Linked DNA regions of Drosophila melanogaster. The protein of the gene in region 3 interacts with the protein of the main gene of each other region in a pairwise test. Each region holds a gene or a part of one and is shown on either strand. Other genes may lie near its edges.

Region 1 (2,705 bases), on a different chromosome or scaffold from region 3:
GGAAGGAAGCCAGCGGTGGCATCTTGGCAACGATACTGGCTACAGATTTGGGCCAACTCGCTGGTGTATTTCCCACCCAAATCCTTTAAAGGAAGCGAACGCAACGACTTTAAGCGGGAACCGTGCAAAGTGTGTCCATTGGATGGATGGTATGCCCACGTGAGCGATAACACCAAGCACAAGAACACCTTCGAACTGTGCCACCGAACTCTGGGCACCGTCTATCGCTTCCGGACGGACAGTCCCCAGATGACGCATCTCTGGTCGAATGCCATTTGCAAATTGGCCACCATGCGAGTGCCCAAACCTCTGCCCACCAACCTAATGTCCTTTGAATAAGCCGGGCGCCCAAGAACACACAGAAACTCGAATATATATTGTACTCATTGTAGCCTAGTTTATCTAGTTTAGTTAGCTTTAAACCTTGAAACGTGCACAGCCAAAAAAAAAAACACCCACCCACCACATCGCTCACTCACTCCCTGAAACGAGGCAACCACAGAACATTCCCGCAACCACAACGAACGAACAAATTGCAGCTTGCATCAGATGAATCGATTTCAAAATGGTATTTCAAAAGACTGACACCGAATGAGAACACGAAGATATAGTAAAGGAGGAGCAGTACTACGAAAGTAGCCACACAATCACAACAACAACAACAACAACAGACTAAACCGTCAACGCAGGGAAATTAGAATCCCAAATTTGTAATGGCCCTGTTATAAAAGTCCAATTTTATTTGAATTTGAATGTATCGGAAACGGAATTGATAAAACGGCTTGTCATCGAATATATATTTATTTTAAGATTGTTCAGTGACCCAGAATTTAGAAATGTAGTAAAATCTGTAAATGGGATCCAATACTACTAGCTAAAAACCAGTTTATTTCCGAATTCGCTTAGCTTGGCAACAGGGCTGTCTTTTTGTTAATGTGCTGTCTTTGCTGTACTTTGTATTTGTAAAATGTTATATTAAGTAAATTACTTGGACGTTTACTCAACTTAATTTTGCGCAGACTGTGCCATATTAGTTTATAAATTTATGTGTCTACACAAACACTGTTGGCCAGCAAACGAATCCAAATTCGATTTGCCCAGCTCCTAACTTTGTAACGAAAAATCAAAAATCCAACGAACTTTCTACGCGTAACTAAGGGCTTTAATATTGTGTATCGCTACCACTATCATGATCAACATCCGTTAATCTCTATATCTGCCTTAAGTTGATGCACTAGACATAAATAGAGCTATAAAGTACATATGTACGTATCAACAACAAATGCATGCGTAAATTATAGGAAACGAAAGTAATGTTAGTGTTTCTTTTTTTCGGTTGAGAAATTGAATTGTAACACCTAAGCTTTGTCACACATACAGATTATCATTTGCAGTGTTTTACATTACATTTAAGAAAGAAATGCAACAAAAACAAAATAAACTACAAAATGAAAGAAAAGAAATGTGCGTTATATAAGGCATCTAGGGTTATTCACAACCCAATCAGATCGTGCAAAGTGCGGGAATTTGCAATTCATTTGCACAGACGCACTGAATCACAATTAGGGAGCTCGGCTTGCCGTGAAACTGGAGGCCTTTAAAACGTGAAGATTGGCTAATAGCCTCGCCAGTCGATTGCGAAACATGAAAGCGGCGAAAAGTGGCGACAGGATGGCGTATCCATGGATTAAAATGAGGCCCCTGCTGATGCTGACAGTAATATTGGTCATTTTCTTCAGCTACGGCCTGGCCGGCAAGACGACCACCATGTGAGAGGATTACGCAACTAGCCAGCCACTAGACCACTTTCACTAACTAATCCACTAATCCATCCTCCTTTCTCCCTTTCGAAAAACCCAGCGTTAGCCACACAGACACCCTCGATCCGCAGGCCGATGGCTTCTGGGTCAACAAGACGACGTGGAACGCTCGCTGGGTAAAGTACTGGCGGGCCAAGAAGATCTACGAGCCGGTGTGGAAAAAGGTCTGGACACCCACCATTCACAACGAGTGGGTGCCCTTGCCCAATGTGCCCAATGAATGGGAGGCGGAAAAGGATCGCTCCTAAAAATAGCACTGAGACTGAAACATAGGCTAAGATTATTTATGGTTTAGTTGTTTATATTTTATTTTATATTCACTGGTAATTAAAGTCTAGAGATAATTTAAAGTGGCGCCAAGGCAAATGGAAGTGGAAATGGATGGCCTTATGAGCTAGCGACTGGTTTACGACTATTTACAAGGAGCTTGGAACCGGGCGCTGTTATGCAACCGTTTAGGTGATGCAATGACCTCCTACGCGCCGGGAAACTTGAATGACTGCGAGGTGGTGGCCACCGAGGCGGCAGGTGCTGCTACGGGGGATTTAGCTGCCTCCAGAGACTTGGCCTGGAAGTCGGCGCTGGCCACTGGCTGCAGCATTGTTGGCTTGCCAGCGGCATTGGTGTCATCTCGTTTCCAGACCACCTTATCTTTGCCATCTGCCGTCCTGGTGGCCGTAACACCTGTGTCCTTGCGATCCCAATCATGGTGCTCATGATGATGATGATCGTGGTGATCGGGCGAGGGGAACCATTCTGAAATGACCACTGGCTTCCAGATCTTTTTCCATCCAGGCACCCAGATCTCCTTCCAGCCGGGCACCCAAATCTGCTTCCATGCCTCCTTCCATTCCTGAAAAGAGTTGGAATATTTAGTTCGGATTT
Region 2 (7,386 bases), on a different chromosome or scaffold from region 3:
CGAAACAGCAGCTGGACAAACTGCGCGACACCAACATATTCAACATCACCTTTCACATCTGGCATGCCGGGCATTTCGGTACCATTAATAACTTTAGGCTGGGTCGATTGCCCTCTGTATCCGTGGACTGGTCAGAGATCAACGCCGCTTGGGGCCAGACGGTGCTTCTGCTCTCTGCGCTTGCTCGTAAGATAGGGCTCACCTTCGAGCGGTATCGTGTAGTACCCTTTGGAAATCATTCGTATGTTGAGGTGCTCGGCGAGAATCGAGAGCTCCCGCTTTATGGCAGCGGCGGATTTAAGTTTTTCTGGGACACCAAGTTTGATGCTGCCATGGTAGCTTTTCTCGACTGTCTTACCCAGTTCCAGAAGGAGGTCGAGAAGCGCGACACCGAGTTCCTGCTGCCCTACAAGATGGAGAAGGGCAAGATCATCGATCCCTCCACGGGAAATTCCTATTCTATTAAGTAGGTTTAGAAATGGTAAAGATTTTACCTATAATAATGATGGTTTCCTTACAGAATCCAGTTTAACTCGGAGGAGCAGTGGACCAAGGCACTGAAATTCATGCTAACCAACCTGAAATGGGGATTGGCCTGGGTTTCTTCACAGTTTGTGTCACCGTGATTTTTCTTTCTCTTTTAAATGTATATTTATAAATTACTTAATTATCCCCATAGTATTAAATCTAAATCTTTCAAATTTTAAATGAGAAGTATTTATATTGTTATGTTTATTTCAGGTAAATTTTGAAATAAGAACGTCTTTGGTACATACTTAATTCAAAAGTTATTTATCTAGTTTTGTATAGCTTTTTTCTGTGTTTTTGGCTCCTCCTCGCTGTCGTCAGAGTCAGAGTCGGATCCAGAGATGTCATCGTCTATCCAGAGTGTGCCCTTTTTCTTCTTTTTTGCCTTGGTCTTGTCTACGGCGGGGGATTTCCTCTTTGTGCCACTGGAAGTTGCTTCCTCGACGCCTTTCTCCTTGTTCTCCTCGGCCTGCTTGAGTCCCTCCTCGAAGGCGTCGTTTACCTTCTCGGTCAGATTAGCCCTGGCTTCCTCGTACTTATCGTCCTTAAAGTCGTGCTTGGGCACGGCCAGCAGTTTCTCGATTTTTCGCTTTTTACGCTCCTCGGCCTCCCGTTCCCGTTCGCCCTGCTTCTCCAGCCAGGCGCGCACCCGCTTCTCCTCGTTGATATCCCGCAAACGGCGACCACTTAGATCGCGGCAAGCCTCGCGATTGGTTGTCTTTTCAATTTGCGCACCAATGGCTCGAAGCATGGAACCAAATCCTCCTTTGCCACCGAGCTGGCGGAGAACGCAGTGAACATCTCCAGATGAAATTTCTCCCTCCAAGCGCTTGCCATTGCTGACTAAGTAGTATTCCCCTGGTTGCAGGTTCTGTAAAAAAAAGGGCCACATTGCAAAATCTTATGAAAATTATACATAACATACTCACTGTTTTCTCCGCAATCCGACTGTAAAGCTCATCACATTTAACGTGATCTCCACAAGAAATTATATATTTACTGTTTATAAAAATATTTATGCCCATTTCGACGACCTTTTCGATAACGATTGTTATTTCTAGTCTGCTTTGTGCTGCATTTGCGCCCGCGGTGAGTGTGTTAGAGAGAGAAAGCGGTGATGCAAGCGTTATCGCCTGCCCTAGGGTTGCCCCCTTTTCGATAACGTTGCTTCAAATAACTTAAAGTCGCGAATTAATGTGTGATCCTTGTCATATTATCGCTGAATTTCCATTAAATACCCCTACGTAAGTAATTTTATAAAAAAATCTTGTCAAGTCCATACTCTTTATTGCATTTCCCATCTTGCCGCCATTGCGTTTTTATTTCTCAGCAAGTTGGCAGCCCTGGCTCTCGCACACAAAATCTCATTAATTAGTTCGCATTTTAGACGACGAAGGTAAAATTTTAGCGACGCGTTCAACGTACATTTGCAGCCCCTAACAACTTTGAAAGTTTCGCAAAATTAATACAAACCGGTAGCGGCTAAACTTGACCGTCAAATGAAGTGTGCGAACAGAGTGCAGAGCAAGTAAAATGCGGTAAATTTACAAACGCAGCCACGTCACAGAGAGCGCATTAAAGAAAAAAGAAGAGAGTGCGAATTTTGACAGCGAAATTCGAGTCTGAACAATGGACATTAAGCGAATGCACTATAGTGCGGCGGGGACGATAATTGTTAAGCCCAGTTTTCGGCACCGCTGTCAGGCAGCAGGGTCGGGGCGGAGGCGTGGCGGTTGTTGGTGGCGGGGGAGCGGCATTAAAAGATGGCAGCACAAAAGCGAACAAGATACATACATATACGTACATATAGCGGCAAGCTGAAAAGGCAAATGAAAAGTCCCGCATTCAAATCGTCTTGGTATTGGTATATTGGCATTAGTTTAAATACACTCAATAGCCAAAAGCGGAAAAAAGCAAAAGCAAAAGAAAAGTGGAGACTCATGTGAGGAAAACGCAAACAAAAAGACCAGCGCAAGACGCCTCTCTCTGCGTGTGTGTGTGTGCGTGTCGGTGCTAATGTGTCAGTGTGTGTGCGAAAAAGAGACGAAGAAAATAAGCAGCAAATGAGCAACCAAAACCACCCCGCCATTCCCTTTTCGCCGTCTCTTCAGTTCTGTGACTTTGACTGACATTTTCTAGCGCCGCCGCCGCAGAAATAATCAAAATCAAGTTTAGTTCTATGCAAATTAAAATTTGATTTCGCAAAGTGTGAAGAAGAAGAACACGAATCTAATGCAACCGTGTGTGTCACCCGCCCGCCGGTTTCGCAAAATTTCCCACATCTTTCTCTTCCTTTTCCCTGTTTTTCTTTCTCCTCATTTTGTTATCGACGGTCATTCATCTTCTAGTCGATTTTCGTCGTTCTCCTTTCGCCCTCGTCTCGCTGGCGTGCCTGAGTGTGCATTTCTGTGTGCTGTGCGTGAGTGGCCCAAAAAAAAATTTGTAAATGTGAATACAGAAATATATTAATTATAAACTAAATCATTTTGCAAGGCCCGCAAATTTGTTGCGAATGAATGGCTATTGTCAATTGTTGGCCATTCGCTTTGTTATAAAGACAGGCAGTCTCTTTCCCCTGTCCTTTCCCACCCGCCTCTCTCGCTCCGAAGATAGCTCACTCACTCTCCCCGTGTTTTTCGTGTGCGCCAGTGTGTGTGAGCGTGCGTCTGTGTGTGCGTGTCCCTGCACTGCTTTGCCGCCTTCTTTGTTCCCATCATGCGAAAAGGGGGCGGGGCGGGGTAGTCGATTTATATCCATATCATTTGCGCCTGTTTTAAGGCCCACCGATCATGTGCCATTAGACCTTGTCCCACTCTTCCGGTTATCAGCGCAAAACTAACCCAAATTTACCTCTCTCTTTTACAGCAGCAACGATTCCAGGGGTCAGCTTCGAAACCCGAAAAGTACACTCAGCCTGCGAACTTTCACGCTGTTTAACTTAGCTAACTAATTTTTGTACAAGAGCAAGAATAAGTAGTCGCAACCAAGTATTCATATGTACATTTATACAATCCTGTATATTGGAACGGACAACTATTTATAATCACAACAACAACATCCGGATCATCGAAGAAGGATCGAGCAATTCTGAAATACCAAGTAGTGTACACCAAGAAACCCCGAATCCAAATCCCAGGCCCCCAGGAAAGGAAGTCAACCGATTATAGACATATATATTAGGCGACTAATCGTATATTCCAAAACACTCCATTAGCGTTTAGTTAGGACAGATATATTTATACGTATACATATAGATGTTTAACGAAATTTTCAATTAGGCGCCAGATTAGGAACAAAATAAAGCAATAAACGACGAACCTCAGCGTTAAGCAAATAGATCAACCTACCTAGATTGAGCATATAAAGTTTATATAATCCAAAAAAATCAAGCCAAGCCGAGAGTAAGTCGAAAGTAGTAGAAAATCAAAGTATTCAAATCTCTCTTGGAGTTTCCTGTTAGCAGCTAGCACCAATTAGATTGCCGCAAATACACCTGTTTAATTAGCAGACACTTTAGATTTTGTACGTAGCTAGGAACTTAATCTGCAAATTTTTGATACATCCCCTTCCGATTAATGCGGCCAGGTGCAGTAGTTGCAATTCCGGTTTTAGTGTAGAGTCAGTAGATTGTCGCTGTAGCCTAGTGTATAATCAGATCAAAAAAGCCACAGTCCCGTGACATCCGACAGCCATGGACGAGTCGCAACCGAAGACCCTATACGTGGGCAACCTGGATAGCTCAGTGTCCGAGGACCTGCTAATTGCCCTCTTCAGCACCATGGGGCCCGTCAAAAGCTGCAAAATCATTCGGGAACCGGGCAACGATCCATATGCCTTCATCGAATATTCCAACTACCAGGCAGCCACAACAGCTCTGACCGCCATGAATAAACGCCTATTCCTCGAAAAGGAAATCAAGGTAAGCTGATTAGCTTCTCTTAAGTTATCAAGTGGACAGCGGTCATTTTCATTCATTTTGTTCGAAACTACACTCTTGCAACACACACATTCCCCACGACCAAGCCCTCATGTTATTTTAATTATGTAGAACTTAATTGATTATTACCTATTAAACGAATGCTCTTCGCAGGTCAACTGGGCCACCAGTCCCGGCAATCAGCCGAAGACAGACATCAGTTCGCACCACCACATATTCGTGGGCGACCTCAGTCCCGAGATTGAGACAGAAACACTGCGCGAGGCTTTCGCCCCATTCGGAGAGATCTCCAACTGTCGCATTGTGCGCGACCCTCACACCATGAAGTCAAAGGGTTACGCCTTCGTGTCGTTTGTGAAAAAGGCGGAGGCAGAGAACGCCATCCAGGCGATGAACGGCCAGTGGATTGGCTCGCGCTCGATACGCACCAACTGGTCCACGCGCAAGCTGCCACCACCACGCGAGCCTTCCAAGGGCGGAGGCCAGGGAGGCGGAATGGGTGGCGGACCGGGCAATGGGTCCGGTGTAAAGGGAAGTCAACGCCACACCTTCGAGGAAGTGTATAACCAGTCGAGCCCCACCAACACCACCGTATACTGTGGCGGATTCCCGCCGAATGTCATCAGTGACGACCTGATGCACAAGCACTTCGTCCAGTTTGGTCCCATCCAGGACGTGCGGGTCTTCAAGGACAAGGGCTTCTCGTTCATCAAGTTTGTTACCAAGGAGGCAGCCGCCCACGCCATCGAGCACACGCACAACAGCGAGGTACATGGAAACCTGGTAAAGTGCTTCTGGGGCAAAGAGAACGGAGGCGATAACTCGGCCAATAACCTCAATGCCGCCGCTGCCGCGGCAGCAGCCTCTGCCAATGTTGCCGCCGTTGCGGCAGCCAATGCTGCGGTTGCCGCTGGAGCGGGTATGCCCGGTCAGATGATGACGCAGCAACAGATCGCCGCCGCAACAGGAGCGGCGATACCCGGCCAAATGATGACACCCCAGCAGATTGCGGCGCAGTATCCATACGCGTACCAGCAGATGGGCTACTGGTATCCACCTGCGGTAAGTGTTGTATTCTTTAAATACGCAGTGACCTAAAGATTGACCCTAACTTTGTGCTTTTCTGCAGACTTATCCCACAACCCAGATGCAGACGCAATACATGCAGCAGGGCTACTATCCCTACGCCTACCCTACCAGTGCTCAGCAAGCGGGAGGAGTCCGTAAGTTTACTTTTCTCAGTTGCTGAATAATCGTGACCTTGGCTTAAACAGCTTGCATACAATTTTCAGCGGCTGGATACCGCATGGTGCCGCCGAATGTAGCATGGGGCGTGCCCGGAACTGTGGTGCCCGGTGTGACGGCTGCCGCAGCATCCGCGGCCGCTGCAGCGAACGGATCACTTGCCCCCCAAATGATGTACAGTGCTGCGATGCCACAATACCAGACCCAATGAGCTGAGATGTGACGCCAGCTTCGACGCCGTTTGCAGCATCCGGGAAGTCGCCCCCAGCCGCAGCCACAACCACCTCTGCTGCATCAGCTTCCGCACCTGCAGCAGTTGCAAGCGCATTACGCACGTTTAGGTTACGTACAATACCGAGTAGTAGCAAAGTCGGAGCCGCTCCTGGCCATGCCGTTGACCAGCGGCAGCAGCCACATTGACGGTGGCAATGTATCTGGAGATTATTAAGGATGCGCGAGTGTCCACTTTGAAGTTGTGGCTACGGTTGCGGCTGACTGCGGTGGAAGGAAGCGGAATCGGGTGTGGTATATAGCCCCCCAAAGTCGAACGTTAAGGCGGTGCGTGGAGCTCAACTTCAAGTGATCCACGCCGGCGACAACTGAAAGAACATCAATTGAAAAGCTCCGGGCGATGGGCGGGTAGCTGTAACAATCTAATCCAATCTAAGTACGTGTTAAATTAATTTAATGATTTCTAATTTAAGCAGATATAGGCGTATAAACGAAACGGAAATAAAATAAACCGAATGAGAAATTCAACAAAAACAAACAAATAAAAACTGAAAAGAGAAAATGCTAATTACGCGCGACAGAGTTAAAACAAAAAGAAAACAATCGAAACAAAAACGTGACAAAGCAAATTGTAATTGTAACTATGTGGAACATGTGTCAACGAAAACTGAAGACGGAAAGAGGGTAGTTTCAGTGGGATGAAAGGATAGCCGCAAGCAAGCAAGCCGAATGCAAAAACAAGAGGAAAAACAAATTTAGTCACTAAGAGAATGTAAATTCGAGCATACATATTGTATATTTCCAATGTGGAAAACGAAATGCGATATAAATATGTAAAATGTAAAATAAAGAAGCAAAAAAATATATAAAACAAGTGAGAAAACGAAGGGACGCTGGTTTTTATATTGAGGTAATGAATTAGGATGTGGAATTATTATTTCAAACTTTAATTTATATCATTGATGATAGAAGTGGTTACTACTACTACAAATCTGGTGGAGGATTCAGCGGAGTCTAAAATATAGTTAAAAAGTAATTAACTTTTACAATTGTGCTAAAAAGTTTTCTTAAGGTATAACATACATACATGAATGAATTTTATAGCTTTAATATTCTCTAGTGAGACGCAGTTTTTCTGCGAAACTAGTTTTCATGAATGCTTAATTCTTCTGCTTACTTTCTCTTAATTTAAATGCACCTGGTGATGTCAGCCGTTGCTCAATTCTCAATACACTACCAATGGTTTCCAATAGCTTAGAATTTTGTTGATGATTAAGAATGCAATTGATGTTTCTTGAAATCGATTTTATTTAGCGTATTCTATAGATTTCTTTATATATATAGTTTTATATGCATGTAGTTTTTTTTTGTATCTGTGTTTAGTAACTAGTCAAAGAACTCAAATTCCGGGTGGGCGAGCTGCGTTGAAGCTGGTTCAATGTGTC
Region 3 (4,759 bases):
ATCGCGGATCGGTGGATCCAAAAATATATATGCGCGGTATATAGTCGGAATATAGTCGATTTTTGGTCCGCAGCAGACGCGCGTTCGCCGCCAACGATAACAAACAACTGAGCTGAAAAAAAGGCGAGCGAATGCCTGCAACATGTGGCATGCGGCCTTTCCAGGTGCCCCGCCCACTGGCGCCGCCCAGCCGACCGCCCAACCGCCCACTTTTCACCCAACCAAGCACACAACGCACTCATTCAGCGCGCCGGCTGGCAATTTATGAATGAAAAGCTGAACGGGAAAAGCTCCAAAGAAACCAACGAACGCCAAGTTCAAGGTGAAAAGCCCTTTGGGGGAAAAGCGCGCGCCGGAAAAGCTCAGGAAATGAAAATGCGCCGAGCCAAAGGGAATTTCCTAATGAAATTCAAATAGATAATATGTATGTGCCAAAAGGAAATAAACTAAGATATTATGTCTATATCTCGCATATACTTTGCAATAGAATTAGTTATTTAAATTATTTATTATATTTATTATTATTACGCAATAAATAAACGATCTGTTCAATTTTTCGATAAATAACTTATTTAATAGCAACATAATTTACAATACAAGTAGAGCACAAATGAACGAAGGCTTAAAAAAAAAAAACAAAAAAAAATTTGAAAAGATCCCTAGGTGGAGTGAGTGGTGGACTCAGTAGTGGTGGTAGTTGTGGCCCTGTTGCTGCTGTTGCTGCTGCTGCTGCTGCTGCTGGTGCTGCTGCTGCGCCAAGTTGGCCTGGGCGAAAATGTGCTCCAGCTCGGCATCGGTCAGCTGGTCAAAGATGCCGCCCTGACCACCGATTCCGGCACTACTGGCACTCAGGGCCGACGGTTGGGATCCCACGGGTGGCAGGTAACCTGGAAAATATTCGTTTGAAATATAGCATAATAATATATATCCATAACGTCATCTGAGCTCACCTTCAGCTGGCGCACTTCCGTATGGCGGGAGCAGGGTGATCGAGGGTCGATTCGGCGACGCTGGCGCGGATTCGGTGGGTGGACTATAGAATACCGGCTTCCAGGGCTGCTGGACGGATGGCCGCTGTGGTGGCACCTCCGACGGCGTCTCCGGCTCGGGTGATTGTGGGGGAATCTGCGGCGAGGCTATACCCGTGCCGGATTCAGGGCGGACGGGAGTGGAGCCCGGCAGCGGTACAATTCCGCCGGGGAATTGCGACTCTGGTTGGCCAAAAGTGGGTGGCTGCTGCGGCAATGGTGGCTGTGGAGCAGCCGGAAAGAATTGGCTAGTTGGTGGACTGGGGAAGGCCGGGACCGTGGGTACAGCTGGAACTCCTGGAACGGAGGGAGGTGATGGAATGGCTGGCGCCTGGGGGAACTGGGGAATCTGGGGAAAGCCGGGAAATTGAGGGAATCCGGGAAATTGTGGTATTTGGGGTATCTGCGGTATGGCCGGAATCTGTGGAATGGCGGGAACCTGTGGCACTTCTGGGGCTTCTGGTGCAGCTGGAACTGCCGGCTGGGCGGGCACAGCGGGTTGGGCTGGCACCGCTGGCTGAGCGGGCTGGAAGCTAAAGGTCGGCACACCGGGGAACTGAGGCGGTTGTGGGAACTGAGGGATCACCGGCAAATCCACAGCTGGGGGAGACGGAACACCGAAGGTCACTGTAGGTTGGATGGGTTGAACCGGTTGAAGGGGCTGAACCGGTTGGATTGGGCTAACTGGCTGCAGATGGGTGGTCACCGGTTGCACCGGTTGAAGGGGCTGAATGGGCTGGAGATGATGAACTGGCTGCACTGGCTGCACGGGCTGAACAGGCACTGCCGGAGCAGTCGGAGCATAGGTCTGCACATAAGTGGGCTGCAACAGAAAAGAATGAAATGGTCAACGGGATATTCCACAAGTTTCCTATGTAGCTAACTCACCTGCACGGCATGCACATGGCCATGAGCCGGAGCATGGAAGTGGACAGGCTTTACGGCGGACTGAAAGACCACGGGCTTCTGCAGGTGCTGGTGCGGATAGTTGACGCTGTACGAGGAGACGACCGCATTTCCGGGACGCAGGACGTACGAGGGCGGAGCCACGGCGGTGGACAAAGCGGTGGCCACGCCGGTGGACAAGGCAGTAGCGACTCCGGCGGGAATGGCACTGGCCACGCCACCGGGCAGACCGGTGGGCAATCCAACGGGCAGGGCTGAGGCGACGGCGGGCAGCAGGGCAGCGGGTGCGGGAGCTAAGGCGGGCAGCAAACCGGAACCGGAAACGAGCGGCTTGACCAGACCATGGCCGTATTTGACGAAGTGGCGGCGCGGAGGAGCGGCGGCCAGGAAGGCACTGCCTCCTGGCAGCTGCAGGCTATAGCCGTAGTGGGCGGCATAGGTGCGGGCGGGCCATTGGCCGTGCAGGTGGGCGTGGCCGTGTAGAATGCCACGCTTGTGCTTTCCGGTCGTGACCTCCACTTCCGTTTCCGGTTCGGTAACCACACTGGCCGTTGGGGCACTCTCCGCCACCGATTCCTCTTGTAGCGGGGCATCCTCGGAGGTCACTGTCAAAGTGGGCGTTGTGCTGGCGGGGGGCGTGACCGATCGACTGGTGTGACGCAAACGTAAGCCCGCCTCAGCTCGATGAGAAACCAAGATGACAGCCAAGACCATCAGAAGATGGAGGCTCCTCGAACTGGCCAAGAGATTCATTTCGATTCAGTGGACTTGATTTCTATATGCGTATATTTGGACACTATGTAATATATCGCCTCGCCTCGCGTTTAATCCGTTTGCTGCGATCGCCGACAAGAAAATGAAATGAACTTCCTTGGTCGCTGTTGTATTTATAAAGCGGACATCGCGGCACAGTGGAGTGGCACATACCCACTGTGCATACCAATCGGTGGCACTGGTGGTGCTAGCAATGCACCACCGTCAGCGGCTCATCGGCATGGCATACGGCATGGATTGGGCAGTTTATGACTTTTACGCTGCCATTTCACCTGCCGCAATCGAAGACCCCTCACCCACTGACCACTGACCACTGAGCAGCGCCTCATTATGCTGCGCCACCTGACCACGCACTGTGGTACCGTAGATTGTGCGCATATATATGGTATGTATATTCCTCAAGTATGGAATATTCCTACTACACTTCATATCTAAGTTTACTTCTTATTCAGATATCGAGATTATTATCATAAAAATCTAAAAGGCTAAAACTCTATATAGTTTGCCAACAACTTTGCCCACTAGTCCCACTGATTGCCTGGCCCCGCTCCACTGTCCCATTGGCCGGAATCCACCTACGCATGCGCAGCACGTTGCCGCACGCACCAAACTTTTGCTTTCAATGGCCTGCATGTTCCGCATGCTTTTTGTGCTCAGTTTTTTTTGTTTTTTATCGCCGGACTCTTTTCACTTTCGATTGCCGGAGATGGAAGGTCCGAAGGTTTATGATTTGGCTGCAATTTAGATACAAATCAAATGTGTCTCCGCTTACATAATCCGGCCAATAATATGGGCGGCTATTCGGGTGTCCAATCCGTGTTAATCAGTCGCCGGGTGAAAGCATAATAAAGCCATTGTAATAAAAGCAAAAGCGCACAATTGCAAAGCACCAATTAGCAATTACCTATTAAGCATGGCACGGTCAATTATTTTGATGGCATTTCAATGCTATTATTTGAATTTCGTTAAAATTCAACATTCACACGCATAAATTTCACCTGCACTACATCTGATGGCGAACTGAAGTCAATAGATAAGTGGATAGTTTCTGCATTATATCACATCCCATCGCCGTAAATGGACTTTCGATTAGCCTACATGGAGATTTTCACTTTTTTTTGGAAACGACCCGTTGGGTGTGTGGAATTTAAATCGATTACAGTGCCTTACACCTGGCATCTGGTACAGTTCGGTTATTGGGCTACCACCATATCGCCCTTTGCATCTAAGTGGGTCTGGCACACAATCCTCAAGGTCTTTCCCAGGCCTTGCCGCCGGAGATGTCATCAGTTTGCCGTTTGGGTTTGCCTTTTGGCACATGAAGTACATATATTTGACAAAGAGCTACATAAACCTCAAAATGTAAACATACAGAAATAAAAGCCGCCAGAGGAGCTTGTTTAATTCGATGCTTTATGACCTGCCCGACGTGAGCAGCATGAAAAAACGCAAAAAACCAACAATATAGATTATAGTTAAGCCCCATCAAATGGTCTTAGGATTTCCTAATCGCTTACAACAAATATCATCCTCGGCTGTCACAGTTTGAAGCCGGAGTGAATGCTGACCACGCCGAAGGTTAGGTTCTCGTAGGACACCTGATCGAATCCGGCCTGCTCGATCATTTGCTTGAATTGCTCCTGCTTGGGAAACCGTCGGATGCTCTCAACGAGATACTGGTACGCCTGCCACTGACCAGCCAGCAATTGGCCCATGGGCGGAATCACCTGGAAGGAGTACTGGTCATATAGCCATTGCATCGTTTCGTTCGTCAGATGACTGAACTCCAGGCACATGAATCGTCCGCCCGGCTGCAGCACTCGATACGCTTCAGAAAGAACCTTAGATGGAAGGGAGAAATAAGTACAAAGAGTACATTTCATGATCCGCCTACCTTATCCACATGTGTGCAGTTCCTGATGCCAAAGGCAATAGTGTAGGCCGTAAAGCTAGCGTCCGGGAAGGGCAACTTCTCGGCATCGGCGCACTGCCATGCGACGGTGCAGTTGGACAGCTGGTCGGTGGTAAGTCCCAGCCTCTTGGCCCGCTCC
Region 4 (3,369 bases), on a different chromosome or scaffold from region 3:
TCTATACGAGTTTTTTGGAAGTGTACTATTTGTAGTCAGTCTATTCTATTGTTTAAATACAAAAAATTAATGGTAATAGGTACGAGCAAAGAGGGGAATGGGAAAGCCGGTCACTGAAGTTCCATTTAGCAAAATCAAATCGAAATCCGGCAAACGAAAAAATCGTTTATATTATATATCCGTTAATTGCTTTTATAAGCACACATGAATATTTCACACCGATCTGATTATGATTTATTATTCGTTGATAGGATTGGCCAACGTCCAGACCCGAATCGAACATCATAGATATCTCAATGGAATGGAGCGATTGAAAGAAAAAATTCAATTTGACTTTAAAACTTTGGAATTTTGGAATTTGGAATTTCAATGTCGCAGCCTAATTCAATTAATTGGCCACACAGCCACTCTAATTTAGCCCTCACGAAGCAAAAGTAATTACAATAAATTGTATTGCTTCGTGAATCGAATTGAGCCCCAGGAAATACATATCCTTTGGATAGGATACAGTGATATAACCTTTTTAAATGTGAAATATATTTTTATATATATAGAAGTCGTTCGTAAAACTATAACAATAAAGAGCTGGGCAATGTGGAATGTCAGTTCTCAGGGGTGGTAGGCAACAGCGGGGGCGGCGTAGTGGGTGGGAGCAGCATAGGTGGCATATGCAGCGGGGGCAGCATAGTGAGCCACTGGGGCCACAGTCTTGACCACAGCAGGAGCAGCGTAGTGGGCAACTGGAGCCACGGTCTTGACCACAGCGGGAGCAGCGTAGTGGGCGACAGCAGGGGCGGCGTATTGGGCAACGGGAGCGGCGACGGTCTTCACAACGGGGGCAACGGCGACGGCCTTGACCAGGGGCTCACGGTTGACAACGGCGTTGAATCCGTTGATGGGATCGGCGGTGTACTGGACGATCCTCTTGTAGCCGTCAGCGTCGATCAGGGAGTACTCTCCGCGTACCACATCTCCATCGCGCTCCTCCACCTGTCCCTTGTTGTCACCGGTTAGCTTGTCATCGACTCCGTAGGAGAAGCGGTACTGGGGGTGGGGGTCGTACTCCTCGGCGGCCTTGACCACGACCTTCTGGGCGACGGCCACGGGGGCGTGGGCGTAGGTGGCCACCGCTGGGGCAGCGTGGTACACCTGTGGGGCGGCGATGGGGGCATAACCGGCGCTGGCCACGGCGACGAAGGCGAGGGCGAAGACAAACTGGGGAACATATTCGTTAGAGAAACGGGTTCTGGTGGGATACCACAGGACTCACCTTGAATGCCATTTTATAGGGTTTTTGGATTCGTGGGTTAGTTCTTTGCGGAAACGGTGCTGATGGCTGAATGATACGGTTTCTGGCCGGCCAGCGGTTTTATAGCTCCCGCTTGCAGTTTCTGCTCAGGTGAAGCAAGGTGCTTACGCTTGGCCTTCTGAATATCATGCTCCAAATTAGCGCGAAGTCACCGCTCTGCGAAGTCAACGGCAAAGTCGGCAGAGACGCCGGCAGAGAACCAAGAGAGGAGAAGGGATTTGCGAATGCGAGATGCAGTCCAATTATTTAGAAAGGATTCGGCGGATTCGCGCGGTGCCCACGTTAAAATTGGTAGTTGGGAATGGATTGCATCTGCTAATAGCGTTTCGATTATCCAAGATATTTTAAGGATGGGATCGTGGATGTCTGGTGGGTGGCCTTGATTCCCACAGACTTCGCAAAAGGGCATTTATTTTGAATGAAGCAGCGATTTTCTATATATTGTACAAAAATAATGCATTGTGTAATATATTTTTAACGTTTATGTTCTAAGACCCATAAATGCCAAACTCTTAAATGTGTATCTGATAAATTATTATCTGAGTGTAAATAGAATGTTAGGTATTTAGATGTAGCTAAGTAGTTGTGTTCCTTAGGACACTAACGCAGACCCAACTTAGCTTTTAGTTTTTAGAACCACAGTTTTTGTAGTGTCAACCAATTTCAAAAAATATTAATCTTTTTTCAAGAGTTTTTTCTTATCCAGCACAGTGTAAAGTTCATTCAACTCTTTAAGATTGCAAATCCGTTCGTATAATTATAATCATATATGTATAGAGTATTTAAAGAATATCAATCAGATTGCACAGTGAACTCTAAAGATTCGAAAATCTTTAAAAAAACCTAATCAAAATTTTGCGATTTGCTTTGTAAGAAAAAAATATATGATCAGTATATCTTCTTAAAGCGATCTTATACAGCGTTATATAACAAAGTAATTAGCCACACATTGCGGCCGGCAAAGCCCTTTCGGTATTACGCAAACCTTTCCCCAAAGATCTTTCACTCTTTCGGTGCTGACGGGTTTAGAATCTGTGGCCACAAGCATTTGCACACCCACTGAGCTTAGCGCCACGAACAGGAAGTACAAGTTATTGCCCGACAACAATCGCAGTCGAGAAGCATTTAATATATTTCGCTGTCACCGCGAAAATAACACGTGCTGTCGGCGTATTGGGCCAAAGCAGAGCAGAGCTGGCAGCTTGATTTACTATAAAAGTTGTCGATCGGACACAGAAAAGTATCATTCGCAGATCCAGTTCACTTCTGTAAAGAACTACCAATCAGCACTCCTAGCAACATGGCCTTCAAGGTGAGTCATCTCGATGGAAATCCGGGATCAACTGTATACGAAATTCCGGTTGGATATCTAACGCTCTTGAATTTAGTTTGTCTTCGCCCTCGCCTTCGTCGCCGTGGCCAGCGCCGGTTATGCTCCCATCGCCGCCCCACAGGTGTACCATGCTGCCCCAGCGGTGGCCACCTACGCCCACGCCCCCGTGGCCGTCGCCCAAAAGGTCGTGGTCAAGGCCGCCGAGGAGTACGACCCCCACCCCCAGTACCGCTTCTCCTACGGAGTCGATGACAAGCTAACCGGTGACAACAAGGGACAGGTGGAGGAGCGCGATGGAGATGTGGTACGCGGAGAGTACTCCCTGATCGACGCTGACGGCTACAAGAGGACCGTCCAGTACACCGCCGATCCCATCAACGGATTCAACGCCGTTGTCAACCGTGAGCCCCTGGTCAAGGCCGTCGCCGTTGCCCCCGTTGTGAAGACCGTCGCCGCTCCCGTTGCCCAATACGCCGCCCCTGCTGTCGCCCACTACGCTGCTCCCGCTGTGGTCAAGACCGTTGCTCCAGTTGCCCACTACGCTGCTCCTGCTGTGGTCAAGACTGTGGCCCCAGTGGCTCACTATGCTGCCCCCGCTGCATATGCCACCTATGCTGCTCCCACCCACTACGCAGCTCCCGCCCACTATGCCGCCCCCGCTGCCACCTACACCTCGTACTCGGCTCCCGCCGTCGCCTACCACCACTAGATCCTGGCTAAAATCGAC

Evidence for each region.
Region 1: the proteins of CG12723 (region 3) and CG15919 interact in a two-hybrid assay, tested with the Drosophila melanogaster proteins (one large-scale study listed by BioGRID).
Region 2: the proteins of CG12723 (region 3) and Rox8 interact in a two-hybrid assay, tested with the Drosophila melanogaster proteins (one large-scale study listed by BioGRID).
Region 4: the proteins of CG12723 (region 3) and Ccp84Aa interact in a two-hybrid assay, tested with the Drosophila melanogaster proteins (one large-scale study listed by BioGRID).

Annotation. Positions count from the first base shown.
Region 1 is NT_033778.4:16,791,013-16,793,717, forward strand, and holds CG15919 (uncharacterized protein), read left to right. Parts: upstream 1-1,629; 5' UTR 1,630-1,644; coding exon 1,645-1,769; intron 1,770-1,860; coding exon 1,861-2,068; 3' UTR 2,069-2,167; downstream 2,168-2,705. Other genes in the region: RalGPS (Ral GEF with PH domain and SH3 binding motif), read left to right, coding at 1-339; CG15615 (uncharacterized protein), read right to left, coding at 2,296-2,673.
Region 2 is NT_033777.3:24,042,499-24,049,884, reverse strand, and holds Rox8 (Rox8), read left to right. Parts: upstream 1-1,619; 5' UTR 1,620-1,772; exon of another isoform or gene 1,773-2,095; intron 2,096-2,163; exon of another isoform or gene 2,164-2,386; intron 2,387-2,516; exon of another isoform or gene 2,517-2,697; intron 2,698-2,872; exon of another isoform or gene 2,873-2,947; intron 2,948-3,393; 5' UTR 3,394-4,219; coding exon 4,220-4,447; intron 4,448-4,618; coding exon 4,619-5,527; intron 5,528-5,594; coding exon 5,595-5,688; intron 5,689-5,739; coding exon 5,740-5,921; 3' UTR 5,922-6,829; downstream 6,830-7,386. Other genes in the region: Atg6 (Autophagy-related 6), read left to right, coding at 1-466, 521-626; CG5986 (uncharacterized protein), read right to left, coding at 797-1,399, 1,458-1,553.
Region 3 is NC_004354.4:13,189,086-13,193,844, forward strand, and holds CG12723 (uncharacterized protein), read right to left. Parts: upstream 2,799-4,759; 5' UTR 2,688-2,798; coding exon 1,917-2,687; intron 1,852-1,916; coding exon 951-1,851; intron 888-950; coding exon 682-887; 3' UTR 558-681; downstream 1-557. Other genes in the region: Coq5 (coenzyme Q5), read right to left, coding at 4,247-4,549, 4,603-4,759.
Region 4 is NT_033777.3:6,702,060-6,705,428, reverse strand, and holds Ccp84Aa (Ccp84Aa), read right to left. Parts: upstream 1,346-3,369; 5' UTR 1,283-1,345; coding exon 1,271-1,282; intron 1,216-1,270; coding exon 610-1,215; 3' UTR 526-609; downstream 1-525. Other genes in the region: Ccp84Ab, read left to right, coding at 2,610-2,621, 2,698-3,351.